Notamacropus eugenii: one gene and its partners. The protein of the gene in region 1 binds, or shares a complex with, the protein of each later gene. Links are inferred from orthologs where the notes say so. Each region holds a gene or a part of one and is shown in the gene's direction. Other genes may lie near its edges.

Evidence for each region.
Region 2: CC2D2A (region 1) and TMEM216 share a complex: the UniProt entries of both Homo sapiens proteins name them as parts of the tectonic-like complex. The link is inferred for Notamacropus eugenii from reciprocal best matches to the Homo sapiens genes CC2D2A and TMEM216.
Region 3: CC2D2A (region 1) and TMEM107 share a complex: the UniProt entries of both Homo sapiens proteins name them as parts of the tectonic-like complex. The link is inferred for Notamacropus eugenii from reciprocal best matches to the Homo sapiens genes CC2D2A and TMEM107.
Region 4: CC2D2A (region 1) and B9D2 share a complex: the UniProt entries of both Homo sapiens proteins name them as parts of the tectonic-like complex. The link is inferred for Notamacropus eugenii from reciprocal best matches to the Homo sapiens genes CC2D2A and B9D2.

The regions. Positions count from the first base shown.
Region 1 is NC_092877.1:67,984,453-67,992,213, forward strand, and holds the start of CC2D2A (coiled-coil and C2 domain-containing protein 2A), read left to right. Parts: upstream 1-4,750; 5' UTR 4,751-4,833; coding exon 4,834-4,920; intron 4,921-7,091; coding exon 7,092-7,172; intron 7,173-7,761. UniProt on the Homo sapiens protein: Component of the tectonic-like complex, a complex localized at the transition zone of primary cilia and acting as a barrier that prevents diffusion of transmembrane proteins between the cilia and plasma membranes.
Region 2 is NC_092873.1:12,956,738-12,963,233, forward strand, and holds TMEM216 (transmembrane protein 216), read left to right. Parts: upstream 1-3,863; 5' UTR 3,864-4,020; coding exon 4,021-4,033; intron 4,034-4,230; coding exon 4,231-4,332; intron 4,333-4,601; coding exon 4,602-4,694; intron 4,695-5,103; coding exon 5,104-5,305; intron 5,306-5,484; coding exon 5,485-5,500; 3' UTR 5,501-5,985; downstream 5,986-6,496. Other genes in the region: TMEM138 (transmembrane protein 138), read left to right, coding at 1,728-1,803, 2,016-2,128. UniProt on the Homo sapiens protein: Part of the tectonic-like complex which is required for tissue-specific ciliogenesis and may regulate ciliary membrane composition.
Region 3 is NC_092873.1:77,717,851-77,725,853, forward strand, and holds the start of TMEM107 (transmembrane protein 107), read left to right. Parts: upstream 1-4,992; 5' UTR 4,993-5,108; coding exon 5,109-5,210; intron 5,211-5,767; coding exon 5,768-5,835; intron 5,836-5,983; coding exon 5,984-6,084; intron 6,085-6,437; coding exon 6,438-6,534; intron 6,535-6,703; coding exon 6,704-6,773; 3' UTR 6,774-8,003. UniProt on the Homo sapiens protein: Plays a role in cilia formation and embryonic patterning. Requires for normal Sonic hedgehog (Shh) signaling in the neural tube and acts in combination with GLI2 and GLI3 to pattern ventral and intermediate neuronal cell types.
Region 4 is NC_092876.1:29,863,949-29,871,281, forward strand, and holds B9D2 (B9 domain-containing protein 2), read left to right. Parts: upstream 1-4,322; 5' UTR 4,323-4,497; intron 4,498-5,005; 5' UTR 5,006-5,111; coding exon 5,112-5,199; intron 5,200-5,801; coding exon 5,802-5,927; intron 5,928-6,351; coding exon 6,352-6,665; 3' UTR 6,666-6,933; downstream 6,934-7,333. UniProt on the Homo sapiens protein: Component of the tectonic-like complex, a complex localized at the transition zone of primary cilia and acting as a barrier that prevents diffusion of transmembrane proteins between the cilia and plasma membranes.

The DNA.
Region 1 (7,761 bases):
TTCAGCGCTGCCCGTTAGAAGATTCGGCACAGACTGCTCTCTCTACTCTCTTGTCTCTAGGCTTAAGAGAACCTTTCCAGGGCCTTGAGTAAAGTTCCTTCAGGTAAAGAAAGCGTTTACAAACAGGGTCCTCCAGCCCGGGACACTCAGATTGGCACAGCAAATGCCCAGAATTCTGCCTACCTGTGTACAACTGGGTGGGGGTTTGTGAATTTTCCATGCCCTCCTCTGTGTTTGCTTCTGAAAAGAGAGGGGCACAATTCCAAGTCCTTTTGATCATTGACAGTGTGGGCTTAGCACAAATCTGGCCCCTGATTGGGAAGCAGGAAATACAGGCGGCTACCCCGACTCTCAGCACTGATTTCAAGGCCTATTTCTGTGCTCCCTGACTAGCTATTCAGCTTAGTTTGCAACTAAAGCTTGATGGAAATATTTGAGTATATTATGTAGCCTCAGGCCTTTTTATCTTCGCTTGAGGGGGAGGGATGTTTGATGAGATAACACACTTGTAACATCGTTTTTCTTGGCAATGATTAGGGGCCTTGTAACCATCCTCCAAAAGGTTACTCTTGTTATTTTGAAAAGACACAAAGATAATATGTTAGATGCAGTTTTACATGACTTTCTTCTGTAGGAAAGGTGTTATGAAGATGTGTGTGTATAGTATATATATAATTATGTGTGTATTATATGTCATATTATGCAGATTTATGTGTGTTACATATAATACATATGTATTTTTACATAGGTATACATCAGACAACATCGTGGGGCAAATCACTGCATATACAACTCTTTGTACATATGTATAACAAACACATATCTATTTTATCTATATATAGATGTGTACATCACATATATTTACATATAAAGTGACTGTTTACAGGGAAATCTGTAGGGACTGGACCAGCCATTTTATTGACATAGGGAACTTCTGAGTGAGGAAACTCCCTCTACCAATGTAATTGTAAAGTCTTTAAAAAGTCCTAAAGCCTTGGGTCATATGGCCAGTATGTGCCAAAATTAGGACTTCTTGGGTCTTCTTGGCTTCAAGGTCAGTTCTTTATCCACTCTACTACATGAGTGGATTATATACTACATATGAGTATATGACTTCTATGTTCTAGCAAAATTATTATATTTTATTAAATGTATTTGTGTTAGACTAATATTTTCCTCAAATATCTCTTCTTGAAATGGAGGTGGCATTGGGTTGTCAAAGGCTGGCCCAAAAGAGCACAAGGCATCATATATCTAATCCAAACTATGAAGTATTTAATTAAGCACCTACTATGTGCCAGACTGCTAGAACTAGGGATGCAACAACAAAATGAGAAGTAATATCCTTAAAGAGAATACATCCTATTGGGAGGGAAGGGACAAGAGAGTCCAGGCCTGTGATTTCACTGGTACAAGAAATTCTTCCTGAGGAATCCTCTCTACTAATGCAGATCAGCACCTACTCTACAATTTATAGTCTTAGAAAACTGACCAGGGCCCTGAGAAGTTAAGTGATTGTACAGGGTTACACAGCCAAGGTGTATCAGAGGCAAAACTTGATAGATCTTCCTAACTAAGGGATACAGCATGTAAGCAATATAATAAGGATAATTTGAAGAGGAAGAGAGAAGGCATAATCAAGAAGATCAGGAAAGATGCCCCATAAAAGTGGCACATGAACTGAGCCCATAAAGGAGCTTTGGATTCCAAGAGGCAGAGGTGAGCAGAGAGGGCATCCAAACCATGAGCTCACAGACAGAAGATGGAACTTAGTGTGCAAAGAACAGTGAAACAAGTAGGTTGATCTGGTTATGCGTTAGGGCACACAGGTGGAAGCACTATGTAAGCCACATGGAAAAATAGGCTAGAGTCCGATTGTGAAGGCTTTAAATGGCAACTGTACACCTGTGTTTATACCTTGTTTGAGAGACAAGAGGGAGCCATTGAAGGTTCTTAAGCAAGAGAATGACAAGATCAGACTTGAGTTTTAGGAAGTTTTGCATATGCCCCAGGGTTAGAATGCATGTTTCATGTCTGAGCACCAGGCTAATTAAGTTGGAAGACTCTCATCACTATGTTGGCTGAAGGATGATAAATTATGGGGCATAGTAATTCCTGAAGATCATCTCCTAAATTGTGGATGAAATAAATACTCACCCTGATGAAATTATAGATCTTTGGGGTACTGAAAATGTTTATGTTATCTAAATATTATTTTGAAGGGTCCAGTCATGTGATTTCATTAACATATGGAACTCCCATTGTGACAACTCCCAAGAAAGAAGTATGCATCTTCTCTGTAACTTATAGTCTTATATAAGAGTTATTTGGGAAACTGAGAGGTTGTGATTTGCCCAAGGACATACTTTGTGTCAGCAGCTGGATTTGAATCTGAGACTCTCTGTTCTAGACCAGTTCTTTATCCACTATGCCTCTCCTAATTATTACATATGATGTTAATAGAAAATTATATATTCCAGATATGAACTAGGTGCTAAGCTTTTTCTTTAGAGTTATTGCCAATCCTTGCTATTAAGTGATATGAAGTGGAAGAAATATTTTTTCTACTGGTTCATCAATACAGTGGGTATTTACTATCTCCTATGTGCCTATGGCACCCTTGAAACCGTTTGGGTGGAGGAAACTCATCAGGGATCAGGGAGAAAAGGATAGCTCTGGAAGGAGTGGAGAGAAAAATGAGCTGACATTTTCCCAGGGTATACCATGAAATCTGGATTTTCAATGAGATATGAATGATGATTCTATGAAAAAAGAATTTACTACCAGATTTAATTTCCTCTCTGAAATATTAAATGTGAAATTATGCAGGTATAAAAAAGAATTGTGAGACAATTTTCAGTATTAAAGTAGGTTTCATTTCCCCATCTTGCCCTAAAAAATTTTTTTATGGTTTTACTTTCCCCCTTGTTCTCTCCCCCACACCAAATTGGAGGTGGGAGTGGGGAGAAAAACAAGATCCTTGTAATAAATATACATAGTACAGCAAAACAAATTTCCACATTAGCTGTATTCAAAAATGCATCTTATTCTTCATCTTTAGTACATCATCTCTGTTAGGAAGTGAGTACCTTGCTTCATCATGAGTCTTCTGGAATCATGGTTGGTCATTGCATTTATCAGAGTTCTCAAGTATTCCTTCGAACATTGGTTCCTTCGAGATTTTCCTGATATTTTTCCAGTCTGAGGAATACTTATAGATTCTATCAACACTTATCAGGAAAATAATGTTCTGTGTCCAGATTACTTAGGGAATCCCAGCCCTATATCCATCTAGATATATGGGAAAATGGAAAGTATAGTGAATATAAAAGAAAAGGGAGGACATGGGACAAGAAGGGGGAAAGGAAAGACTAGCTTGGTAATAAGGATCTTTCAGGATTGGAATCTCAGCAGGTAGAGGAAACACATCATGACAAAAGACAGGAGTGCCCTAGGAACATATGTATAATCAAAAATTGATTATTTTAGAATAAAATTTCCTCTGAAGAAAAGGAAGAATTATGTACAGATTTCCACAGATGAGATGAATTAAAGGAATGATGGACAATCCATGGTGTGGGTGTGAATGATGCCTAAGTGGGTGTGGGTGTGAATGATGCCTAAGTGGGTGTGGGTGTGGTTGTGAGTGACACCTAAAGCATCTGGGGAAGGTTCTCTATTATACTTTATAATATTCTAGTTTCCCCCTACCACTTTTCTTTCATCTCACTCCTTTCCTCTTCCATATTTCTCTCTTTTTTTCTTTTACTAACTTTTATTGATGCCTCTTGGCATTGATATCTCCTTTCTCCCATTGAATTCTCCCCTGTTACATGGGGGTGGGAGAGGGGGGGAAGTTAGTAAAACCAACCAACACAGCAACCACATCTGGCAGGGTAAGCAACATTCTGAATCTTTAGTCATCTACCAAGAAGACAGAAGTATGTTAGATTAGTTATGTTAGTTCCTTGAAGGCAATCTTGGTCATTACAATCAGCAAAACTGCCTTCCACCTTTGTTTTCAATTACATCATTATAGTCACTACGTATACTGGTCTCCCAGTAATTAGAATATTTAGATTCCTTCAAGGATCAGTGCAGGTGTTACCTCCCACAAGAAGTCTTTTCTGATCCCCTTAGTTTTTTAGCATTCTCTCCTTCCTAAATTATTTTGGATTTACTTGTTTGTTTATCTGTTGTGTCCCTCTTTCCACACTGCAGTAGAATGTAAGGCCCTTGAGGGTAAAGAGGGGTCTTTGTCTCCCTAGCACCTTACATAGTGTCTTGCGCATAGTAGATGCTTAATAAATATTTGTTTATTGGAATTGAACGAAAGCATACTGTGTTTAGTAATCAACTAATTGTCTGTTTGGTTGAAACATAAGAACAGCGAAGTGAAAGGAGGTTATGGTGAGATTTGGGGGAGTGAGCCTAGTACCACCATCCTGGAGCAAAAAGGGGTCAACAAAAGTTTTTGAACAGAATTCCATGACCAGATATCTGTGCATAAGAAAGGATAGATTGTAAGGGAGAGAGAAAGAAAATGTTAGGAAAACATTTGGGGATGATACTGTAATGATCAGGTAGATGAATCTGTATTAGAATAATAGGAGAGAAGGAAGAGGAGTTAGACATCAAGGGAGATTGTAGAATTAATTTTCAATTTAAATGAGGTAAATTTAATAAACCCTAACCTGTAGCTTAGCTGGGGTTCTACTGGAACAGATGATGATCTAGCCCTTTGATTTTATAGTATTCTTGCTAAAGTTTCACACACATTCATTCTAAGCCATACTCAGTTCCAGCTTCCAAACAACAACACACAAACAACACATGATGCCTGATTTCTTTGTTTTCACTTTGCTGCTCAGGGATCCAGAAATGAGTCACAAAGAAGAAAAAGTGAAAATAATCTCAGAGGTAAGTAGATGTTTATATCATTGTTAGGGTTCTGTATGAGTGAAGAAATCATATTAATAATGAATATCTATTTCTGCTGAATCTACCTACTACAGAGTATACTATACTCAGGGTTATTCACTTTTGGGGGAAATGGCCTACTTTTAAGTTAGTTTAGATAATCAATAAAGCAGGAAATCAAGCCCTGATTTAGTGATCACTGATTTCTAAATTATACTCTCACTGAAAACTTTACAAACTTCACGACTGTTAGAGCTGGCGTCAGCACACCCAGGTGGTGTGGTGAGCATTTGAGAAACAAGGAAAGAATTCTCAATTCTAAAACATTTTAAGATTTCACAAGGATCCAGACTATTAAAGCACATTATTGTCATTTTCAATAAAAAACATTCCCTGTTCCCAAGGAGTTTAAAATCAGCCTGGACTTTAAAAACTTTTGTTTCTCTTCATTTCTTAAATACTGGAAGCCAGAAATTGTACTTGCTGCATGACCTTGGACAAGTCAGTTCCCTTCTCTAGACCTATTCCCTTATATGTAAAATATGGGGGTTTAAGTCTAAGACCCATTCAAATTGTCATGTTCTTGGTTCTGGAGAGGAGATTCTCCTTCACCTCCTCTTCTTCTTCCCCCTCTTCTTATTTTCCTTCATCTCCTCCTCTTTCTTCCTCTCCTTCTTGTCCCTTTCAAGACAACTGCAAAATGTTCTTTCCTGCTCTCTATGGGCCAAATGTGTTCCCTAGCAAGTTTGTTGCTTTCCCATTATGACTCCTTTTCTGTCAACAGAATCAAAGCCATTTTCCTATTTACTCCCAGAAAGTTTTCCTGCCTCACTCTGAAGTGGCTTCTAGGACCTGCCTTATAGAATTGTAGTAAGGATCAAATGAGGTGAAAGGATCTAGTGCTTTATAACTAGAAAGTGGGTTCTTCTTATTAATTCTCCAAAACTACACATTTTCCCTACCAGCTAGGTTGGTTGCCCCAGAATCTGTCCTGAATGAAAGGACCAGAGCAATTTTTGTGGAATCTGGATAAACACTTGTAGAGCCAAAGGCAGGTGGTGAGGAGATTGGCCAAACATCTACTAGAATAAAATTTCTGTGAAGCCACCAGTGATAGGAGGCACCATGGTAGAGTGGAAAGATCACTAGCACTGTAGTTAAATGGCTTGAATCAAACCTTATTCTAAGCTTAACATACGTACATACATATGTATATACACACAAAAATGTATGCCTGTGTATGTACATACATGTATCTACATATGTACATATTTGTATACACGCATGTATATTCAATAATCATTCAATAAACATTAAGTGCCTTCTAAATGTCAGGTACTGTGCTAAATGCTAGGGATACAAAAAAGAGGCAAAATTCAATTACTATCCTCAAGGATCTCACAATACAGGATCTTGGGAGAGTTCTAACATCCCTGGGACTCAGTTTCCTCACCTGTAAAAGGAAAAGGTTGGAGTAGATGAAGTCTGAGCTCTAGATCTCTGATCCTATGATCTGATATAGAGTGATAAATGAATCTATATATTTACATGTACATATAGTAGATAGCTATATGGATATCTATGGCAGATATGGAGGGAGGGAGGGAGACAGACACAGGGACAGAGAGAGACAGAGATAGAGAGAACAAGGATACAGTATGGCTTTATACAGCCCTCTGAATAATTTAAAAAATCAAGCAGAATTACAAAATGTTAGCAACCAAAGGGACCTTAAAGGTCATGTAGTCAAACTCTGCTATTTTACAGATGAGGAAACTGAGACTCAAAGGAATTAAGTGATTCTCCTAAGATTACACAGCCAGTAAGTGACAGAGGCAGAATCTGATCACAGTTCTCTGACTTCAGAGTCTTTCATATTATGTCATCTGGTGCCAAGAATGATGGTGACATTGATGATGGTGGGGTGTTGGTGATGGGGGTGACAGTTGTGTTCAGTAAAGGATCTAGTCTCCTATTTCCTAATGAAGGCTAACAGAATGAAGTAGAGGGCCTGAGCCTTTTCATCTTCACTGTGATTTTGTTTTTAATATTTAAAAATACAGCTCCAGATCTTTAATTGTTGAATTGTTTTAAATTTCAGCAAATAAACCTATCACACTTCAATTTTTTCTTTTCTTTTTTTTCTTTTCTTTTTTTTTTTTTTGACAAAGGAGTTTGTTGAAAATGAAGGTGCGGAGGCAGAAAAACTGAAGAAAAAGTTGAAAGTTCAAAAACACAGAAGAAAAAAACAGGTAGGATTGTCACCATTCTGATATTTGTCTTTTGAATTGATGTTTAACTTTAGCAATGTTGTAGCATCAGAAGGGTACCGGCACAGCACATGGAGTCTTCTCTCACTTTCCATTGCTTTTCTAACTGAACCATCTACTTTTCTGGTCGTAAGTCTCTTTCACTTCTTTCATGCAGGTGATCTTCGCTAGGAATAGCCTGTTCAGACCCGCACCATAACTTTCTATTGCCCTTTGAATGATCTGCAATTTTGATTCTATGACAACTATACTGAATGATTTATAGTTGTACAGCATTACCAGAATATGTGAATACATGAGAGATCTGTGGTTTTGTCTGCTTGAAGAATCACCCTCCACAAATCCAGATACCTAGCTATCTACCATACCCCTAACCCTATATGCTACTGGACCCCTAAGCAATCTGACTGAAGATAAGTCTCAGGGAATTGTCTGAGACATACAGAGGCCTCATGACTTTTCCCACATCACACAGTTAGTGTCAAAGGCTAGGTCTGAACTGAGGACTTGCTAACTACAAGTCCAGTACTCTATCCACTATGGCACATTGCCCCTATCCTCTGGAGAAATA
Region 2 (6,496 bases), on another chromosome or scaffold:
AGTGAAGAGGGATTTCTTATAATGAAGTCTTCCACATGCTCTAGTTTATGGATGACACCATAATGGTCACATGAAGGCCCATAACATGGCAGGGCCTCCTAGAAGAGATCCATAGTGACAAAAAAAGTTTGATGTAACCATCCACACAGGAAAAAGCAAGTGGATAAAGACTGCCTATTGTGATAGGCCGTCATGTGGACAATCTACAGAGTCCATCCATTATTATATACATATACGTGTGAATATATATGTGTATGTATATATGTACCTGTGTGTGTGTGCATATGTGTATGATGGTGCAGACTGATTTGGGCTCAGAACTGAATAGAAGGACCTCCAGAAAATAGCAGAGTTTTGTTAAGGACTTCCGTCATCTCCCAGAAACAAACACCCATCTTCTAATTCTTTCTTTTTAGAAATGTACTCTATTTAATGATATTTTTTTGTTTTTACATCATCCTTATTTCCAAAGAAATCACCTCTCATTAAACAGAGATTTAAAAAGGAGGAAAAGAGCAGTTCAACCAAGCTTGCTCATGCAACATCAGGCCTGTTGGACAGACGGTGCCCACCATACATGGAATTGTGAGGGGAGCCCACCATCTTGTAGGGTGGAGAATCCTCCTGGGATGTCTCAACCGCGAGTCCCTCAAGAAGGCAAAAAAGACGTGGGGTGGGAGTGCGCTGGCTGGCGCAGCTAGCAGCTACAGGGCAGGCTTCCTCAGGGGCCTCCTGGCCAGGTGAGCCTGAGTAAGACTCGGGGGAGCTCCCTAATATGATGAGTTGCAGAGAGGGTCAGTCTGCATTGGCAGAGGCTTTTTCCTTTGTCTCAGAGGCTTGAGAGAAATGAAATGACTGGCCCAGGATGACCCTGCTAGCTACAGATCTGAGACAGAGTTTGAGCCTGGCTTCCTTAATTCCAGGCCCAGCTCTACATACCCTGGTCTGGGCTGGCTCATCAGAGAGGTAGTCTGAGGGGAAGGTGTGGATTGCCAAAACTCCAGCCCTCAGGAGAGGAGCAGAGCTCACAAGTAGGAAGCCAGCTCATGCTGGTGACGTGGCACTAAGCTGGCACAGCTCCTGGCCTTGTACTGTCTGCCCGGCAGGGGAGATAAGAGGATTTTCTGAGATCTTCGTGCTGAAGCCAAAATAGGTTCTGCTTTTATTTTGTAAAGCTCCTGAGCCGAGCTGTTTAATTCCGAGTACACCTGAGCCCTTGGCTACCAGGAGCATAGACCAAGATGAGAGGAGTAAACAGGCTGACCCTGTCCACACAGGAGTCCCAGGCCTGGACCTCATACATAGTGAATGCCTCTTCCTGGTAAGGGAAGCAATGAAGGGCTTGACAAAGCATTTATGTGTGGAAGGGCCATGCCCCATCATCCTTTCCCAGGAAAAAGAGAACTTGGTTAGTCTGTTAAGAAAATGTCCCCATCTGTAATCCCAGGGGAGCACAGGAGTTCCAATGGCTGGGTCCTGCTGCTTGGTTGTCTACGCTAACATCAGCGTGGTGAGCCCCGGGATTGGGAGCTATCAGCATGGCCAGGCTGCAATGGTCCAAGCTCCTGTACCAGTCAGTGGGAGGACTGGGCCTAAGAACATAATGGGTTGGTGCATGGGAAAGAGCTGGGCCATGTGGTGGTGCATCCTGTGTGGGGTCAGAAGTACAGACAGAGCAAGGGCCACATCTGAATGCTGGCTTTACCTTGGCTGCTTCTCTCCTTTAGAACCTGCGCTGGAAAAACTCCAAGCATTTTATTTGGACAGATGGTCTTCAAACCCTGTTTGTGTTTCAGAGACTGGGTAAGGACCACATCACCTTCCCCCAGCAGGTCCTTCATTCTAGAGTCAGCCAGTGGCATAAGTCCCATCACCCCTGCAGTGGTCCTTCCCCTTCCCACCCCTCACCTGGTGGTGCTGGGGAGTCTGATCCCACTATCTCCCATGTCATGTCCCCAGAGGAGCAGCTTGAAGGGGAGTACCCTTCAGGGCCCTTTTCCCATTCTTATCCCCAGCTGCTGTTCTCTATTGCTACTTCTACAAGAGGACAGCCATCCGCCTGGGTGATCCACGGTTCTACCAGGATTCTCTGTGGCTGCGCAAGGAATTCACCAGAGTGCGAAGCTGACCCCTCTGCACCAGCCAGACTGCGGGAACCCTGCCTGCTGCATCATTGGGGGCCCATGACCAGGGCAAGGCGGGCACATGTTCCCTATTACTCACCTGCATGCTAACTAAAGGTCTCCTGCGCAGCCTGCTGCCCACGACACAGCACGGCCCCTCTGTACCACTTCCCCTAGAGCCTGAGGGCCCATTGGCTCCCTTCCTGCAACCAGGAAGTTCCACCTAGGAGCCCTTATTAAGAGCCCCCTTTGGCTGCTCCCTCTCCCCCCACCGCAGGCCTGGGCATGCAGAGAATAACACTGGCACACTTAAGAGACTTGGGCTTGGAGGTTTTTATGCTCTACAGCCCTTTTGTACTTTTTTAAAATAGGTAATAAATGTATCCCTTTTGCCATAAATTTCCAAGGCCAGGCTGTTTCTGTTGGTGGTGATGCCTGGTTTCCTTCCCTTGGTGGCCTGCATATCCCCTTTCCCTATAGGTAGACCCGGCCTTTGAGAGGCCATTTCCTTTCTTAGCTCTTCCGTTTTCCTGAGATGAACATGAGCAGTTTGGATTCAATGAATTTTCAGCCTTCTCCAGCTGCCTTATTTGTTCCTAGACTAGATCCAGAGTCTGACAAATTGTTTCTGTGGTCAGCCCTAGGGCCATGTGGGAGTCTGGCATGGGCCTAAAACACAGGGAGGGGGCCTGGATTCAAGGCCTGGTCCTAGCGCTCATTACTTGTGTGACTGTGGGCAGCTTCTCAGAGCCTCAGTTTCTTCACCTGTAAAATGGTGGAAATGCTTTTCTGTAGGTCCTTACCTTGCATTGGTTTATCTTTTGTATACATTTACATATAAATGTTGTCTTATGGAAGAGATACAAAGAAAGTGAACAAGTCAGTCCCTGCCCTTCAGGGTTCAAGCCCTAACTCTACCTGCCAATCACCCAGGACACAGCCTCTACAGAGCAGAGTCCTTGGGAGGCAGTTCCAGAGAGAAGGCACTGGGAGGGGGAGGCCAGGACGGACTTATGCACTGAACCTGGGGTTTGAGACTTGAAGAAGTCAGGGAAGCTAGAAGAGGGAGGCAGGGATGGCATTCCAGGTATGGGGCACAGCTAGGGAAAAGGCATGGAAGAGGAAGAGAGCGCCTCTTGGGCAAGGAGCTGCAGGAAGTGTGTAGATTGTAAAGGCTGTGAAGGGCTTTAGATGCCAAGCACAGAATTTTCCATTTGGTCCCAGAGGTAGTAGGGGGCCACGGGCCGACGAGGATTTGGGGGAAGATGACTCCGGAGCTGGGAGAGGCAGGCTAGGAGGGTGTGCAGGATGTGCAGGAGAAGTGTGCACGGAGGTGCAGGGACGCACTCGCGGGAGAGGGAGAGGTTCAACAATTAGGGGGCTTTTTCTGGGGGCACGAGTGTGGGTTCCAGAGGGAGGGAGAAGTGGGGGTATGCGAGGGGGGTCTGAGAGGAGGGAGTGTCTGAGCCCTGCGCAGGAGGGCATCTTGGGGCTCGCTGCTGTCTGCCTCAGTAGCAGCCCCGTCCCCCAGGATGGTTGTGCGGGAGCACTGAAGAAAGCTGACGCCCGGAGGGGGCCCGCCCCGAGCCGCCCTCGGCCTCTCACGTGGGCGCCCCGGCAGGGCTCGCCTCCGCTTGCCCCGCCCTTCGCCAGGCGGAGGCCCCGCCCTTCGCCAGGCGGAGGCCCCGCCCCCAGAGGCCGCGCCCCCGCCAGGGCCCAGCGCCGCAGGCCTCGCGCATGCTCGGCGGCCGCCCCCACCGAGCTGGAGCGGCCGCCAGCTAGAGCGGCCCTTCCGGGCGGGCGCCGCCTCGCCCCGCCCCTCACTTCCGGCAGGCGCCGAGCTGGTCTCCGGGAGCCCAGGCGCCGCGCCAGCAGTTTCCATGGGGACTGAGTGGCGATGGCACCGCGAGGTGAGCTGCCCGAGGTGTGTGAGTCTCCGCGTTCGGGGACCCCCGCCCAGGCCTCGGTTTCCCCACGGGTCCACAGCGAGGAGTGCGCTGGCCGCGGCCGTGAACGCGGGCGAGCCGGGGCGGGCGGGGGCCGGCCGGGGCGGGAGGCGGGGGGGACGCGGCCCAGCCGCTCACCAACCTCGGGCCTCCCCCTCCAGACCGCCGGCTGTCGTCCATCTCCCTGGAGATCTTGCTCTTTCTCAATGGCTGGTACAGCGCCACCTACTTCCTGCTGGAGCTCTTCGTGTTCATGTACAAAGGTGAGGCGTGCGCCCCCCTCCCTGGCGCGAAGCCCCGCCCCTGACCCCCCAGAGCCCTGGGTGAACGTCGCCCCGCCCCTCGTCTGGCCCCGCCCCCAAGCAGCCCCGCCCGTCCGGCCCCGCCCCTCCCAAAGTGTTGCCTGGAGAGCCTGAAGGACCGGCGCCGACCCCCGGTTGTGCTGTGCCTGTCCAGCCGCACAGCAGGGGTGAGGTGTCAGACCGGCACCCCTCCCCCGCCGCCTGCTGCAGCCTCGTTCTGGCCCCCGCAGGTCTTCTGTTACCGTACCCAACAGCCAACCTAGTTCTGGACCTGATCATGCTCTTTCTTTACCTTGGCGTTGAAATCATCCGCCTCTTTTTTGGTAAGTGGCTGATCCCCGCACCTTAGCAGGGGACCGAAAGGGTCCTGGCCCCCTTCTGTGGCCCAGGGGAAGGTTACAGGGTTGGACAGTCCCTTTCCTTCCTCTGGACAGAGGAGGCCGGGGGGGCACGTGGTTCTCCCGGGGCCTTCCCCCTTGCGGTGGGCACTGGGTGTCAGGGGCATATGTCCTTGCTGTGATGGTCCCGAGTGCTCCTTTGGAGGAGGAGGGAGGAACCCAAAGTCCTAACTCTTCTAGGCCAAGTTTCCCATCACCACAGACCTGCATGACTTCTAAACCTGGACTTCCACCCATTTTGCAGCCTCCGTGGCTTTCCCTGCTCCAGCCTTGTAAGCTCAGGGCAGGCCACTGGAAGTGATCCCCAGGGCCTGTTTTGTGCCTGTCTTGACAGCTACAAAAGGGAACCTCTGTCAAAGGATGATGCCCCTTGGGATCAGCTTGGCCATGACCATTCCGTCAGCCATGATGGCTTCCTATTACCTCTTGCTGCAGACCTACATTCTGCGCCTTGAAGTTGTCATGAGCACCATTCTGCTCATTTTCTGTGGCTTAGAGCTGGTGCTTGAGTTGATCACGCTCACCACCTTCAACAGGTACTACTTCCTCAGCCTGGGCTCAGGCCTCCCCTCTAGGAGGGCCCTGTGTAGGGGAGACGGGGTGAGGCTGGATATGGGGCTGGGAGATCTTGGAGGCTGAGGTGCCAGCGGTGGATAGGTGAGGTTAGCTACTGCTCTTTGGTCTTTAACCTACTGTGGTCTCTTCTTGCCCATAGCATGGATTCGTATTGAAGTGGCCTAATTGAGCCCTGGTGACTCAACCCCCTGGTGCCACAGAGACACATGCTCTTGAGGAGGCCAGCCCTTTGACTTGGTCCCGGCAGTATCTTCTAGACCAGCCTACAGAATATGTTCTCCATCTCCTTCAGGATAGCAGAGAGCACACAGCCCTGTCCTGGGCCCTTGCACATGGTCCTTACTTGGCACTCCCTCTTGTCACAACCAGAGCACTGAGTTTGGATTGTCTAGGTCTCCGGGGCCCCCAGCTTGAGCTAGGCCCGTTGTGCGTGTGTCCCTGGAAGCACTGTGGACCTGCATTTCACAAGGGTGTTTTTCTTCCACTAACCCCAAACCCGGACCTCATCCCATTCGTTCATTGTAGGGGATGAGCTTCAGAAGGGACTAGGCAACAACACTCAATAGCTTGGGGTATCATTTTCTTACACTATGTCTTCGAACAAACACTATTTATTTACAATAAATATTTATTTTCTGTTGTGGGGGCTGCTTATGGCACTGTTCTTTGCACAAAGCCCAAGGACAGTACTAGGTCCCTGCTTCCCAGACCTCCCAAAAGCCTGCTAGTCTTTCCATCAAGCAGCAGCATCACAGCATCAGGCCTCCGTGAGGCTTTCTGACTGTCTTCCTTACAGTGCCTGCTGTGGCCTGGTTTGGGAACTCAGTCACCAGGAACCAAGGGCCTTCATAAAACCTCTGCTCTCTAGGCTGATGCTGTGGTGAGGTGGCAGGATCTTTTGGTAGACAGACTGGAAGCGTTAGCCTCTATTTAAAGATGAGAAAACAAAGGAAGAGGCTTGGGGGGAACAATGCCCAAATCTTCTGTTGACCATCACTTATACCTTATTGATCTGTCCCCCATTTGTTCTGCTGCACGCAGTCACATCTGTCTCGTGTTCCTCTTCAGAGATTAACTGCCAGCCCCCTCTTCCTTTCTTTACAGAATCTTGAAGCCTTCGGAGGCCATGAGACTTTTGGCAAGTCTTGTCC
Region 3 (8,003 bases), on another chromosome or scaffold:
CACTGGTGGAGGTGTGAAATTATCCAGTATTCTGGAAAGTAATTGGGAATTGTGCCTAGAAAGCTATCAAATTGTGTATATCTTTTGACCCAATTATACAATTATTAGACCATCCCAAGGAAATCAAAGAAGAAGGATCTATATGTACTGTCCACCTGAAGGTTTGGTTAAAAGAGGCAAACAGGCTAGGTGACATGTAAATTCATATTGTTTATTCCCTTAAGGCTAGCAGAATACATGCATGGAGCCAGAACTTAAATTCTGACTAATAAAAAGAATGAGAAATATTAAATATATTTTGGAACAACCTCAACTCAGAATGTCTATGTCACTCAAATTTATAATTGCCATATATATTTAACCATAGTATGAGGAAGGGATTTTCTTAATTGAATAAATTGTAAATACAGTATAAGAGTTGACACAGTGTCAATTGAAATTACAACCCAGGATATTAGTGTTTTCTTTACCATTAACATGATATAATATGTAGTATGTGTCCATAAGAAAAGTCCCATTATTCAAGATAGTGTCTTGAATTAAGGGCCTCATCCTTAATGGCCATAAACAGAAGAATACTCTTAGCTTCATTTGGCCCTTGTAGTTGTTGACACAAGATGGGGAATTCTGGGTTTACTCAGAGATTGAAGAAGGGAAATGTTAGGCCAAGGTGCTTCTTCTGGTTGATTAGTTCAGCCTCTGGCCTTGTTGAGGTTCAAATGATTTGAAATGATTATCAGTACAAACATTTATCAGTACAAATATCAGTACAAATGTGAGAAATAATCATCTCACCAAGAATTCCATTTGACCATTAGTGAATTTAGAAAAAAAACATTTTTATTTCACCTCATTTTGGATGGGTGACCTGCCTATAACCCTTTGTGGAAAAGGGTACCTTAGTAGACACAGGCACACTTCAAGACAATTACAAAGTCATAACCCATTCTGATTAGTATTTCCCTTTTCATCTCATTGGTCAGGCATTTCAAGGTTCACAGTCTATCTGAAAACACCTAAACCCCAACCCCACATGGTTTCCTGCTTACAGCTCTCATTTCCACATTTCAATCCCTTCCCTTTCATCTTCATTTTCTTTATACTTTATTTAATAAATGCTTCTAGTTTCCTTCTTTTGAGGTGTAAGCTCAGTTCTCATGTGAACGCCCTTGGGCAGGTAAAAGTGAGGGCTTCTTGATTTCGAGCTCTCATGAGGCCCCCCAGGGAACAGCTGAGAATTGAGGTATGAGACTCGAGCTTTCTTGTTTTTCCACCTCTTCTCAGTGGAAACTTGCTGGGGAAAGCATCTCACCCTTGAGATTGGTCTGTGGTCTGAGCACACCCTTTTGTTAATTAGCTAAGGGGATGAGAGCATGCATGGTATCCATGAGCGAACTATGCAGCGGGGAGAGTTTAAATGGGGACAGGAAAGCCTGGGGGTGGGGTTCCTTTCTCCTCGGGAAGAACTCGCCCTGCATGCTGACATGTAACTAAGATCCTGAATAAAGCTTACAACTTCTGTTTGACCCTGGAAGTCTCTTCTCTCGATACGTTTATCTGGCTGGCCACCGAAGACCTGGAGATAGGTAAGATGACCCGGGCAGCCCACGGCAATTAGGCTGGACATCCTCCTAGTTTGTCTGCATCAGATGTTATGATCACCATAGCATGAGAAAAGAATTTTCTCAATTGCTAAGAGAATTGACAAAAGCTGTGAGTTGAACATTGGCCCAGGATATCGATGAGAAAGAGTCACATTATCTAAGACAGTTATCTGGGTTAATGGACCCCATCCTTGGAGAACCACAACTGGCCAGTTTTTGATACACTGGACAAAGGCCTTCTCAGAACAAAAGAAGAAGAGTCTGCTTTTAGATATGTTGATTAACAGGTGGCCAACATCCCCCACTGCCCTTCCACTACAATCAGTTTTGCCATCAGTATAACCTCTTAGGTTTCATGTAATTTCTATGGAAACAAAATTCAATCATCCCTTACAGTTCTATTATGGAAGACAAAAATTGGAAGGAGAAGGTCCTCCTATTGATGAGTGACTACACAAATTGGGGTATATGAATGTATGGAATACTATTGTGCCATAAAAATAGTGAAATGAATGATTTCAGAGTAAACTGGGAAGACCTCTCTAAACTGATAATTAGTGAAGTGAGCAGAACTGTTGAGGTCTAGGGCTTCTGGAACCCTGAAATTCAAGGGCAAACAACTCTAGAGTCCTGCCTCAAATGAATTAGACTCAAGCCTTCTTTCAGCTAGAAATAAGGCTTATTAGAACATGGTCTGGGTGGGCAAGATTTTAAGAATCTGCCCTATTGTGACACTTGTATTATCAAGAGGGCCACACTGAATATGAACATTGACAAAACGTAAAGAATATGAGACTTTTGTATTGATAATGCAAGTGGGGCAGATGGGTATAGGCTCTAGAAGCCCCCTTGAACTTTCCTTGAGTCTTCCAACTTGCTCTAGTGTTTGCCTGAGGTCATAAACCTTCCATTATTACTATGCCCAAATCTGTTACCCTTAAACTAGCCCAGCCTTCCATAGTCTCCTACCTCCAAGTAGTCTTCAGCTACTTCCCACACTTAATCCTATTCTCCTAGTTCCTGGTGTTTGACCTCTAATTACCCCAGCCTACTGACCAGGCCATTCCCATAAAGACCCTCTGTAAACCCCTCCTCTAGTCACCCTAGACTACTTGGCCACCTCTAAATCCCCCCCACAGCCTTTTTGTATATAAGATCCATCTTGACTCCATCAAGGTGCATTCTGGCCCTCATCACAAGGGCTCAGATTCTATCTGACCCACAGCCGCACAAATGCTCAGATTCAACACAAGCATCACAAATGCTCAGATTCCTTAAGAATCTACCCAATATGGTGGATCTTTAATAAACTTTGTTTTTCTTTGGCTGAAAGAAGGTTTGGGTTGAATTCACTCAGGCAGGACCCAGCGTGTTGCTATTTCAGGGTCTCAGAACCCCTAAGCCTCAACAGGGACAGATTCTTAAGGAATATGAGCAATTTAATGGGGGGCAAGATGCACCTTATACACAGAAAGACTGTGGGAAGGATCTAAGAGAGACCAAGTAGTCTGGGGTGACTGGGAGGTAATGATGTGGTACAGACTCTGGGAACCTCCTTGAATCTTCCCACTTTATCTGGCCTTTCATACTCATATCTGTTCCCCTTAATCTAGCCGACCCTCAGTGTTACCCAAGGTAACATAGTTTGTTACCTCTGGATGGCCCCACCTGCTTCCTACCCTGGCCCTCCATTGTCTGATAGCTCCCAATTGCCTCCAGCTGTTTCCCATCCTGGATTATATCACTAGTTATCCTAGTCCCATCAAGATCCTCCTTAGACCCTCCTCCCAGACTACTAGACCACCTCTAGATCTTTCCCATGGTCTTTCTATATGTAAATTCCATCTCACCTCCATGGAAGTGCTCGGATTCAATCCAGCTCAGACTCCGTCTAGTTGAGATTGTATCTGGTCCGCTTGTTAATATAGTGTTCCAGATGCTTAGGCTCTTTAAAAGTCAACCCAATATGGCGAATTAAAGATTAAAGAATTAATAAACTTTGTTTTACTTTGGCTTAAAAAAGGCTTGACTTGAATTCATCTGAGCAGGACCTATCATGTTGGTATTTTGGGGTACGCAGCACCCCGAACCTCAGCAGTAACAGAGAAAGACCTGGAAGGGCTGAGTGCCCCAGGCACATACCAGGGATGTGGGCCACCTGAAAAAGCCCCAGGGCTTTTCCTTTAGAGGGTCCAGATCCCAAAGACATGATCTTCTCCTTTTATGTATTCAGATTCCATCCCCATCAGAACCAGAGAATAATTTATGTATTGTTAATACCAGTAAGGGAAAACAACATTGAAAAACTTTAGAACTCTGATTACTACAAAGATAAACCACCAATCCCAAAGAATGAAGATAAAATAAGACACTCACCTCCTGACAGAGGGATGATGAACTTAAAATGGCATTAAAAAGCCATACATTTAAATGTGTGAAATTTGTTTCGCCAGACTATGTACATATATATTGAACAATTTGTTTTTTGGTCCGATTGTACGATTTTTTAAGTTGCCCAAGGTGGGTGAGTACTGGGAAGGTCAGATGAATGAAACAACAACAAAGGTGTCCTGGTTTTTTTTGTTTTTGTTTTTTTAAAAAGGAAAAGGCAATCTTAAAAAGATCGTAAGCTCCTCTAGATCTGGTACTGTTTTCATTTTTTGTATTCGCACAGCTAGCGTTCAGCACTTTTAGCAAAGTACTTAGCGCCCATTCATTCATTCATTCATTCATTCATTCATTCATTCATAACGTCATCACCTATTAGAAGGCAAATTCCTTAAAGCAGGGGACGTCTCGTCTTTTGCTTCCCGAATTTCCAGCTCTGAACTCTGCCAGATACTTGGGGAAAGCGTAATATTCCTTCCTTCGGCACTCTTTAAACAAACCCCAGAACGAGACCCCCTGCTAGGATTCTGGGGTAGGTGTAGGTCAGGCGGTTCCTAGCCCTTCGGGAACTGAGTAGGAAGAGGGCAGTAACCACGGCATGTAAATGAATTAGGGTGACAAGGGTGTAAAGAGAGAGGGAACGTGGGGAGAAGGACTGGAAACGGGCTCGGCAGCTCCAGGGGAAGATGCTATGGAGGGGGGAGCCCTATGGCTATTTACAGGATAAATTCTAAAAGGACAAGTTTGGGGGGGAGGTCAGGCACCCTTGTTTCCAGGGAAGAATCTGCCAAGGGTGGGGAATCTGCGGCCTAGATAATAAAAGGATTTGTCAGTCCAAAGGCCGCACCCAGGGACCTGGAGGGCCTCGAGGTCGCAGGATCTCCAATCCCGCAAGCGAAGGCACGAATTCTGCGCTAAGGCCGGCGGTTTGCTGCAAGCTACGGGAGGGTCCCTTTAAATTCAATCCCTCTCAGTGCATTGCTACTTCTCACGAGATTTCCTGAGTAGTTTAGCCAACCGTCATGGTTAAAAAAAAAATAATGCCCTGGTTGTCCGTGGCAACTGAGAGGCGGCGGCGAGGTGCGGAAGGAATCGTGGATCTACGGCCGCCGACCCATGTTCTCGGAAAGCATGGGGCGGATCACTGGGCTGGTGCCCTCTCGTTTTCTGACGTTGCTAGCTCATCTGGTAATCGTCGTCACCATCTTCTGGACGCGGGTAACCTAACTGCCATCCCAGCCTTTTCCCTTCGCTTTCCCGGGGCCCCCTGTCTCCGGCCCAGGGTTTGAGCGGGTGACGCAAGTCGCCCGTGCCGGTGATCATCGCCTGAGCTCCCGCTTTCCCGGCCTGCGCCTGCGCTTGGGACTCCTCTTCCTTTACATCCCCTAGCTTCTCCTGCGCCTGCGCCTGCAACTCGTAATCCTTTCTTTACAGAAAGGTTCCCGCCCCCCCCAACTTTTACCCCCTTAATGAGTTACTCTTTCTGCCCTCCCCAAGCGCAGGCCGGAGCATCCCGAGCCGGTCCTACGTAGGGGTCAGGAAATCTAGCTTTAGGGTTTAGTCTTTACGCTGTGTGACTTTAGGGACTGCGGGTCCATGGACCTCTGTGTCCTCCCCAGCATGTTTTATGAACCGGTGGTTTCTTAAGGCCCACTCTGTAGCTTCCACGCTCCGTGGGAAGAAGGGGAAGGGACAAACACTGGCTGCCCTGCAGCTACCGTTTCTGTTCCATCCTGGCTTAAAAACCCTGTTTTACTCCTGCTCTTCTTTCCTAGGACATCAACGTCCAGGCCAGTCTGCCTCCCGATTTCACCTCGGAGGAGTATGAGGAGGAGGACCTTAAGTGAGCCACCCAGGGGATGGGCGGGCCAGTGGGGGAGGCTTTCCCCTCCTCCACTTTGGGGTGGGGTGGAGGAGTCAAGCCATCCTGGAGAGGGAGAAGGCCCCTGGTTGCGAAGGGTAGACTCCAGGACCGCTTTATCCCTACATAGGATGGTCACTGCTCTCTCCATTACCCTGGGCCTCTTCCTGATAGAACTAGCAGGTTTCTTTTCAGGCGTGTCCATGTTCAACTCCACCCAGAGCCTCTTCTGTATCCTTTCCACCTACTCTTTCCCCCCAGTGGCCAGTGGCGTGGCTCCCCAAATGGAAGAGTGCTAGGCCTCGGGGGTTGGGGGGGCGAAGTGTGGATCTCTGAAGTTTAACTTGAGCTTGGCGCAAGATGGAGCCCCTCTTAACATGGTGGTGACATAAGCAGGGGTCGGGGAGACGAGGAAGGAAAGAGAATTGAACTCCGCTTCCTAACCTGGCTTAATTTGCTGGCAGAGTAAGCGCAGGTTCCCTTCCCTCCTCGGCCGAGGACGGGTCCTGCCTGGGTACCACCCCCCCTTCTCCCAAGCCTGCTGGGAAATGTAGTTCCATTGTTTTTCCCTGACTCTCCTGAAGCCATCGCGCTGCACTGCTGCGCAGCGGTGTCTTTGGCCTTCTTCGTCTTCGAGGGTTGGGAGTGCTACGTCTATTGGTACATCTTCGCCTTCTGCAGGTGCGGCACGAGGGGCCACCTATCCAAGGTTTCCGAGAGGCTGCCCCCGAGGAGGCAACGCTTTCCTGCTTTCTGGGTTTAAGGGCTGGTCCTGACTAGGGTGTCAGTGCTGGGACTGGGCCGTCTTTGTTACGAGAAAGTCTTTGATCACGCCTCCCTCCTCTTGCAGTGTTCTCCCAGCTTCCACTGAAGTAATATTGGTCATCGCTGTCTTCGTGTTAAAGAAAAAATCTTTCTGAACCACTTCCCACAAACGTGGGGCAGAAGACCGAGAAGGCTTTGAAGTCAGCCCTCAGTCCTTGGAAAAATAACTGGGAAGACTGCCAGCGACAGGGTTTGGGGGACTGTTGGCAGTGTTCTTATCCCCCTGAGTTTTCGCACATTGACATTGTATATAATATTTTATAATAAAACCCCACTTTTGTACCATAACTAAAGCTGGTGACACCAGTTGCAGGGGACATTCGATGTTGGCCATACACAGGGGAAGGGAAGACACAGCAGAGAGGAGTGTGCCGCAAGGGGAGCCTGGTGTTTTCCCATCCATTCCAGGACCTTAAAGTTACTGGTGCCCCTTTTTCGATGATTACGGTCCAAATCCCAGGAAGGGGCGGGGCTGATTTATGCGAGTGACAATGTACGTCATTCCTGGGACAATATGCAAATGAGGACCAGGAGGCTTTGGAACCCTGAGTGAAGAAGCTAAGACTAGCTTCTTTAGATTGTTTGGGGTGCAGATGGATGGAATAGGCCTTCGTTATTTATGGGCTTGGGGAAAGACAGTGCCCAGTATCCATCCATTAGGTAAATCAGAGTTAGAATGTCCTGCATTTAGCTCCCAGAAAATATTCTTTATTGTTTGTAAGGCATGCCCTGAACGGATGTAATTTCTTCCCATCTGTGAAATGGGCAATACTTACTACCATCCGAGTGACGTGTCATGGTGCACAAACCGGGGACCCTTGAACACTTACTAGCTGTGTGATCTTGGAAAAGTCACTTAACATTTTTCATTCTCAATCTCATCTTTGTGTAAAATGGAGTTATTGTGAGGAAATGGGAAAATAGTACCCTGTCTCCACTAGGGAGTTCATTTTTATAGTATACCCCAACTCTTCTCTTTTTCCAACAGGATTAGGTGAGACATGCCAATCTAGAAGGTAAGAATAAGTGACACTCTCCTAGGAAAGATTAATGGTGACAAGAAAAAATGGAAGGGAGCTTAGCACCTTGAGCCAATGAGATATGATCACAAGAAGCCTCAGAGTCTGAATTTTGTTCCAGTTTTGTTCGTTACTATAGTAGTGGTTTCCACGTTTACAGAAGGAAGGCATTGGCTTAGATGAGCTCTCAGATACTTCCAGTTCTAAATTTCTGAATCTTAGGTTTGAAGTGAAAGTAAATATGATGAAAGATCAAGCATGGCATTATTCTATCCCTGAATATTACAAATACCTTTGGAAATAAAG
Region 4 (7,333 bases), on another chromosome or scaffold:
TGATGGTTCCATGTATGGATGGTGGGGTGCTGGTTGGTGGAGAACTTGTGTTTTCTTGGTGTTAACTGTTAGGCAGCAGAGAATCAATCTAGACTGTTCTATCTCAGCCTCAGAGGTTGCACTGAGTGCTCAATTATCTGTGAACAAAAAATCATGCACTAACCCTCCCTCCATTTTAGTCTTGGCTTGCAGCCTTTTCAAGTTAAATACTCCACCCCCAGGGCGGTAGCTGATCTTGGTGTCATGTTCAATCTCAACAAAGGTGTTGGACAGCATGGCTGAAAACATCTTGCTAAAAAGCATGAGAGCAAACATGCAGCTCGGCTTTACTCCCGTGGTACCTGGGAAAGTGAGAGAGCATTGCCCATTATCCAGAACCCAGGCAAGCATGCCATCATGAGTGTGACATGGAATGATGATGAACTCCTCCACTCTTCCACTCTAACGTACTTGACCATTGGTCATCCAGTATCTATCGCCTCTCAAGGAGGCATATTTCATGTCTGGAGAATTCTAATCAGTAGGAAGTTTGTCCTGAAAACAAGCCTCAACTTACTTTGCCTTTTTGCAACCTCATCTATTACTCTGGGCCTTGAGCTGAGGTAGCTCAGTGGATTGAGTGCTGAGCCAAGAGGCAAGGGGACCTGAGTTAAAATCTGTGCTCAGATACTCAATGACTGTGTGATCCTGAGCAAGTACCTTAATGTCTACCTGCCTCAGTTTCCTCAACTTCTCCAGACCAAAGAGAACACCTCTATTCTCTCTGCTACATAACAGCCCCTGTGCGTTCTCTCCCAGCCTAGCATTTATAAACTGTCTCCAGTCTACTTTTCCACACTTACTGACCCTTACTCTTTTTCATTCTACTTTCTAGTCAAACTGGCTCATTCCTCAGCATGGGAGGTGCTCTTTCATCTTCTCACGGTGTCTCTTGTGCTTGGAATGCATCCCTGCCTCCCCTCTGCCTGCCTGACTCCCCAACTTGTATGCAGGCACAGCCCAGGGGCCTTTCCCTCTTCAAAGTTTTTTTTTAAATTTTGGGTTTTTTTAGGTCAACAAAATTTTCCCCAGCATTTATCACCATCCCTCTGCCCATCTCATATGTTATTTCCTTTTTATATGTAAAGAGCATGTATCTACCATTGGGGCATCTGGCTCTTCCATCCTGGCACTAACACAGGAGACTCTGGATGTTATATCTGAGCCAGCCAGCAGGTGGAACCTGCGAGCCTGAGCTGAGAGTTAGAGTAATTGTGCATGGGTGGACTGACATCAGCAGTGGACATGAGCCTACGGGGAACTGAGCAAGCTCAAGCCCCAGCTGTCTCCGGCTCTGCTCAGCTGGATTCTTTTCAGCATTGGGCACATGGAGGGACAAGACAGCCTTGTCAGTGTCCATCTTCCACATCCCTTGAGGGGTGTCTGTCTAGCCGAAAACTATGAGAGTTTCTATGCCAATGCACATGCTACGAGATGGCTCTAGCCCCAGCATCCATGGGCAGCAGCAACTTCCAGGGATTATTCAACTCTTGTACAGGTGAAAGGACTTTGCATAATCTAAACCGAAAAGTGAAAGATACAGAATGAGAATTATGGGGCAGCTAGTGTGAAATTCCCCCACCCTTCTCTTGCGTCAGGGGAAGTGGTTTTAAGATGAAGGGAAGGGAGAAGCCAATCACCTTCATCCCATTTCAGACCCAGGTGATTCAGGGTCAAGTAATCTCCATCTGTTAGCCAGCTCAGGAAGCTCCCCAGGCTTCTTGAATTACTTACAAAGTCCCTTCTTCCTCTGACAGGTGCCATCTCTTCCTTCCTGCTGTGCTGGACTCTTGCTTAGGCCTCTTGTTCTCCAGGCCAAGCACCATGGCCTTCTTTGAAAAAGTCCCTATATGGTGTGACATTAGATAACCTCAGGAAACTGCCTTCCAATTAAATGCCCAGAGGCCATTCTAGCATTAAAAGACTGCAGGAAAACAATAAGTGTTGGCTGAAACAGGCTGCTTCAGACAGAGGTGACATAGCTATTGACCTATCTCCAATGTGTTTATCCATCCACACCTACATAACTATCTTTCTAACGATATCACCTCTCTCTATATCTATCTAATCTATTCATCCATCCATCCACATCGATCTATAGATAAGGGGCAGCTAGGTGGTGCAGTGGATAGAGCACCAGTACAGGAGTCAGGAGGACCTGAGTTCAAATCTCACCTCAGACACTGGACATTCACCTTGGGCAAGTCACTTAACCCCAAATGCCTCATCCTGGGTCATCTCCAGTCATCCTGATGAATATCTGGTCATTAGATTCAGATGGCTCTGGAGGAGAAGTGAGGCTTGTGACCTGTACAGCCCTCCCTCACTCAAAAAACAAAAGTCAAGTGCAAGTCATGTCATTATTTTTCTGATGGCATGGTCTTCTTTGGCACCGAAGGACGAACACACATCTATAGATATCACCCATCCATCCATCCATCTCCGATTTATTTATCCATCCACACCTACATATCTATTTATCTTTCTATTGATATTGCCTCTCTCTATTTATATCTATCTAATCTATCCATCTGTATGTAAGGTGAATTTTAGTGTGTGTAAAGTGAATTTTTGTAATTATTTCTCAGAGTCAGTTTCCCAGGATCCATAGCCATAACAATCTCTGGTTCCCAGGTACTAGATATGAGTCCCACAGTTATGGTTCGAAGTGTCTCCACCACGCTTGCGCATGGTTATATAATGGTGAATAACATAAACATCCACTGCGGCTGCACAGTGAGATACAGGGATGGGGCGATGGAAACTTGTGAGGCTGCTACTGGCAATCTGCCTTCTTTGTCTGCTGGCCTATAAAACAGGTGGTCACTAGATAGTGAATGGGTAACCCTTAGTGTTGAATGCACAAGCTGGAATGCTGTGTGTGCCTTGATCAGACCCCATCAAGGTTTGGAGGGAATCTGTGTTTGTCTCAACTGGCCCCCACTGAGGCTTGGGGATTTAGGGGACGCACAAGTTGTGCCTGTCCCGATTGACCCCATAGAGACATAGGAGTAGTTGCCCCCGCTTCTCACCAGCCCCTGTGAGAAGGGTGATTAGTGAATGCTGTAGGAGTTTGTGCTCTTACTATCAGCAACTTCTTCAGAAAGAACTAGACTAGAATAAAGTAAGATTATTAACCCCTTTTTAGTGTCTTTCCTGTCTGACCAAATCAAGAGTGAACCTGTGCTAGCAGCCCTCAAGTGTGCTGTGTTTTCATCTGTCTTACACCATCCATCCACATTTATCTATTTCACCCAAATACCTATATTCATCCATCCACATCTATAGATATCACCCATCCATCATCTAATTTAATTATCCATCCACACCTACATATCTATCTATATCACCTCTCCATTTATATCTATCTAATTTATCCATCTATCCATATCCATATCTATGATCTACCTTCATCCATCCATCCACATTTATCTATCTCATCCTCTATATACTTATATCTATCCATTCATATCTAATTTATCCATCCATCCATCCATCCATCCATCCATCCATCCATCCATCCATCCACCCATCCAACCATCCGTCCATCCATCCATCCATCCGTCCATCCATCCATCCACCCATCCTTCCATCCATCCCTCTACACCATCTGTCTGTGCACATGTGTAATCCCTCAGCAGAATGTAATGTCCTTGCCTCATTTTTGTCCTTCCTCACTGCCTGGAACACGGCAGACACTTAATAAATGTATGCCGATTGATCACTTCCCAGCTCCAGCCAAATATTGCTTCAGGGATTGCTTTCTTTTTGACCTTGTAGCCTCAAGCACTTTATAAGAGGCCTGAAATGGATGGGATTTCTGGGGGTGGCTGCACTGAGAAGAAGGCAGTTTTCAGCAGGACTGACAGGTGCTATGCGGGAAGAAAGTGGTTTTACCGAGAGTGGCAGGACAGGGTTTTCCTCTTGGTTGTACGGAATAAGAAGGTGGAAGGAAGGTGAGGGACACACTCAACATGGCCGCATGCTTAAGCCCACCTGCCACACTTAACATGGCACGCGGTCACTCTATTCCACCCCCACCCACTCCCGGCTAGAACGTTTTATGAACTAGAGCCTGTTAGACATAGTCTCTTCCCAGCTCCTGAACCGCAGACCAATCAGCGCCCAACAATGGGGTGGGCGCAAGGGATCTTGGAAGGAATCGCCTTCCGAAAGGACCAATCAGCAGTGTGCTGGGCGGGCACACACAAAGGGAAAGGGAGCTCTTTCATTATCGCCCCGCCCCATTCTATCTGAGGCCCAATCAGCGGCGTGCGAGGGGAAGGCGAGAGATACCTACTGGTCCCATTTCCTCTCCGACGACCAATCAGCGACGCGAAGGCGTGCACGAATGGTGCGCAGAGAAGACCGCGAGCTTCTGTTGCCAGAGCAACGGCCGGAGCAGGCCCCGGAAGCCGTTCACCCTGCTGACGGTCCCGAAATCTTCAGGTTTCTCGGGTAAATGAGGGGTAGGGGAGGCGAGGGTCGGGCGCCGAGAGACGCGAGTACGTGTTCCTGTACAGTTGTGCTTGCCAGAGAAACAGCGCCTGCGCAGAGGCTGGAGTCATGAGCGTTTTGCCTCGCTCCGGGGATACTGCGCATGTCTATTTGGAAGGAGGGGGCGGAGTTATAAGCCCTAAGGGGAGGAGCTATGGAGATGGGCGGAGTTACCGAGTCTGTAGCTAATAGCGCATATGCCTACATGTATACGTACGTATATATCGTTTTAAGTTTTGCAAAGCGCTTGCTTTACAGATATTATCTAATTGAACCTCAGAACAACCATGGAAAGTCTGTGCTATTATTATCCCCATTTTGAAGTTGAGGAAACTGAGGCAGAGGTTGTGACTTGTCCAGGGTCACTCAGCTACTAAGTGTCTGAGGCTGGATTTGAACCCAGATCTTCAAGACTTTGGGTGCACTGTTCTATCCACTCAATTGAAATCATGATGTGCTCATTTTACAGATGAGGAAACTGAGGCCCAGAGACATGTCCAAGGTCAGGCAGCAGTTTGGTCGCTGCTGAACTTCATTCTTTGTAGTCTTCTGACATCTCTCCTCTCCACTGGGCCATGGCTGAGGTCCATGTCATTGGGCAGATCATTGGGGCAACAGGTTTTTCTGAGAACAGCCTCTTCTGCAAGTGGGGTGTCCATACTGGTAAGTATGTGGGGATAGCATGGCCTCATCTGTTCACATCTCTGGGGAGTCCTCTATACCTTCCCCCCACCCCCGGGGAACTTGACCCTTGACCTTCCTTGTGCACTCAGCTGGAGAGAGTGTGGAACAGAAGGGGAAAGTCCTGAGGTCTTCCTCCTGATTCTTCAGGACCTGTACCCCAAATTGTATCTCCACAGCAGAGTCTTTGCCCACTTAATGGGTGGGTGGGAGATCCTTCAACTCCAAAGAGGCCTAGACCCCCCTCCTTTCCTTCTTTCCTTGGGGACTGTGAGAGTCTTTAGTGGGGGGTGGGAGTGTGGGGATATGAGGAAGGTTTTCGTCCTACATGGAACTTACTGCCCTTCTTTTTGGCTAGACTAGATTTGGAATTATAGAGGCAGAAAGGGACCTAGAGATTTCAGCCAGGAAGCTCTTTTTACAGTAGAAGAAGCCAAAGTCTAATTAGGTCACTGATGGGACCAGGACTTGAGCCCAGGGCTCTTTCCAGTGCCATAGCGGCCCCTCCCTCTAACCCAACAGAATCCCTTCTTCTAGTCCCTCCCTCCCTCCCCTCAGTGACCCTTTCCTTTCCTGACTGGCAGGAGGAGCATGGAAACTGCTGTCCGGTGTTCGGGAAGGCCAGACACAAGTGGACACCCCTCAGCTGGGTAGCATGGCCTACTGGTCTCACCCAATTGACCTGCATTTTGCCACCAAAGGCCTACAGGGTAAGGGCAGGGGTCCCAGGCTCTGAGTAAGTGAGCTGGGAAGGGACTGCTCCAATTGGACAGGGAGATGAGGCTCTGTCCAGTTCAGGGCACCTAGTAGTCCTTCAGGCTGGACCCTGGGGTTGGGGAATCCCACCTGGACCCCCAGAGACTGGGAAGGTTGAAGAGAAAGACAAAAGAGACTCAGAGATGGTCTGTGTTGTTTATTAGACCTGACAGATCTGTCATTTGTGGGTGCTCCTGGTCAGAATATGGGCATCAGTGGTTGGCGGGAGCAGCTTAAGATGGCAGAATGCCTTTGGGGGACTGGGAGTGGCTACAGGAGCCTGAACAAAATCAGGGAAGGAAGACAGAAACCCAAGCCTTGGGAAGAAGGGCAGACTTGGCCAGCAGAAGACTGAGGTAGACCCTCTCCTCTCCCCAGGCTGGCCTCGGCTCCACTTGCAAGTGTGGTCTCAGGACGTCTTTGGCCGCTGCCAGTTGTCCGGCTATGGCTTTTCCCACATTCCCAGCAGCCCCGGCATCCATAGCCTTGACTGTGTGACATGGCGCCCCTTGGGTGGCTGGCGGGAGCAGTTGGCTCGGGCCTTCGTGGGTGGTGGGCCCCAGCTGCTACACAGTGATGTAGTCTACAGCGGGGCCGACCGATACCGGCTCCACACAGCAGCAGGGGGCACCGTGCACCTGGAGCTGGCCCTGATCCTGAGAAACTTTTCCCGATATGGGGTTGAGTGCTGAGCACCTCGGCCAGCTCCCAAGCCCTTATCCCTCCATCCCCCAATTCTCCATCTCACTTCCTTCCCTCCCCTCCTCTTTTCTGTCTGTCCCCGGGCTCCTGGCCTCAGCAATCAATCAACCAACTCTTACTGAACTTTTATTATGTGCCAGGTACTGCCCTAAGAAAGCCTTGGGGTACCAAGAAGGAGCAACATGGCTCTGTCCTGGGGCATCCATGTCAATGGGGGCGATTTCATGTAAAGAAATATATGAATTGGTCTATACAAGATTCCGACAGAGTACAAACATCTCATTTCTATCCCTTCCTTACTGTCAGACCTGAGTCCAACCCCTTGTTTCACCAGAGGGGGAAACTGAGCCCAGGGATGCCCTGGTTGAGTGACTGAGCCCCAAAATGTCCGAGTTCAAGGGAGTCTTAGAGACCCTGGATGCCATCTAGTTCATTCCACTCTTTGGAAAATGGGGACACCTAGGTCCCTAAAGTGAAAAGCGCCTACTTCCAGGGACCTGGAGCCCGGGGTCCAGCCATTGCAGGGCCTTCTTAGACCCACTTCCTGGACTCCTTCTGGGCCGGGTGGATGATGTTCCCCTTGTGACCCTCCCCTTCTGCTCTTTCCCCTTTCCTCCCCTCCTTGGGTCATTCCCCCCAGAGGCCAGGCTGTCTTTTC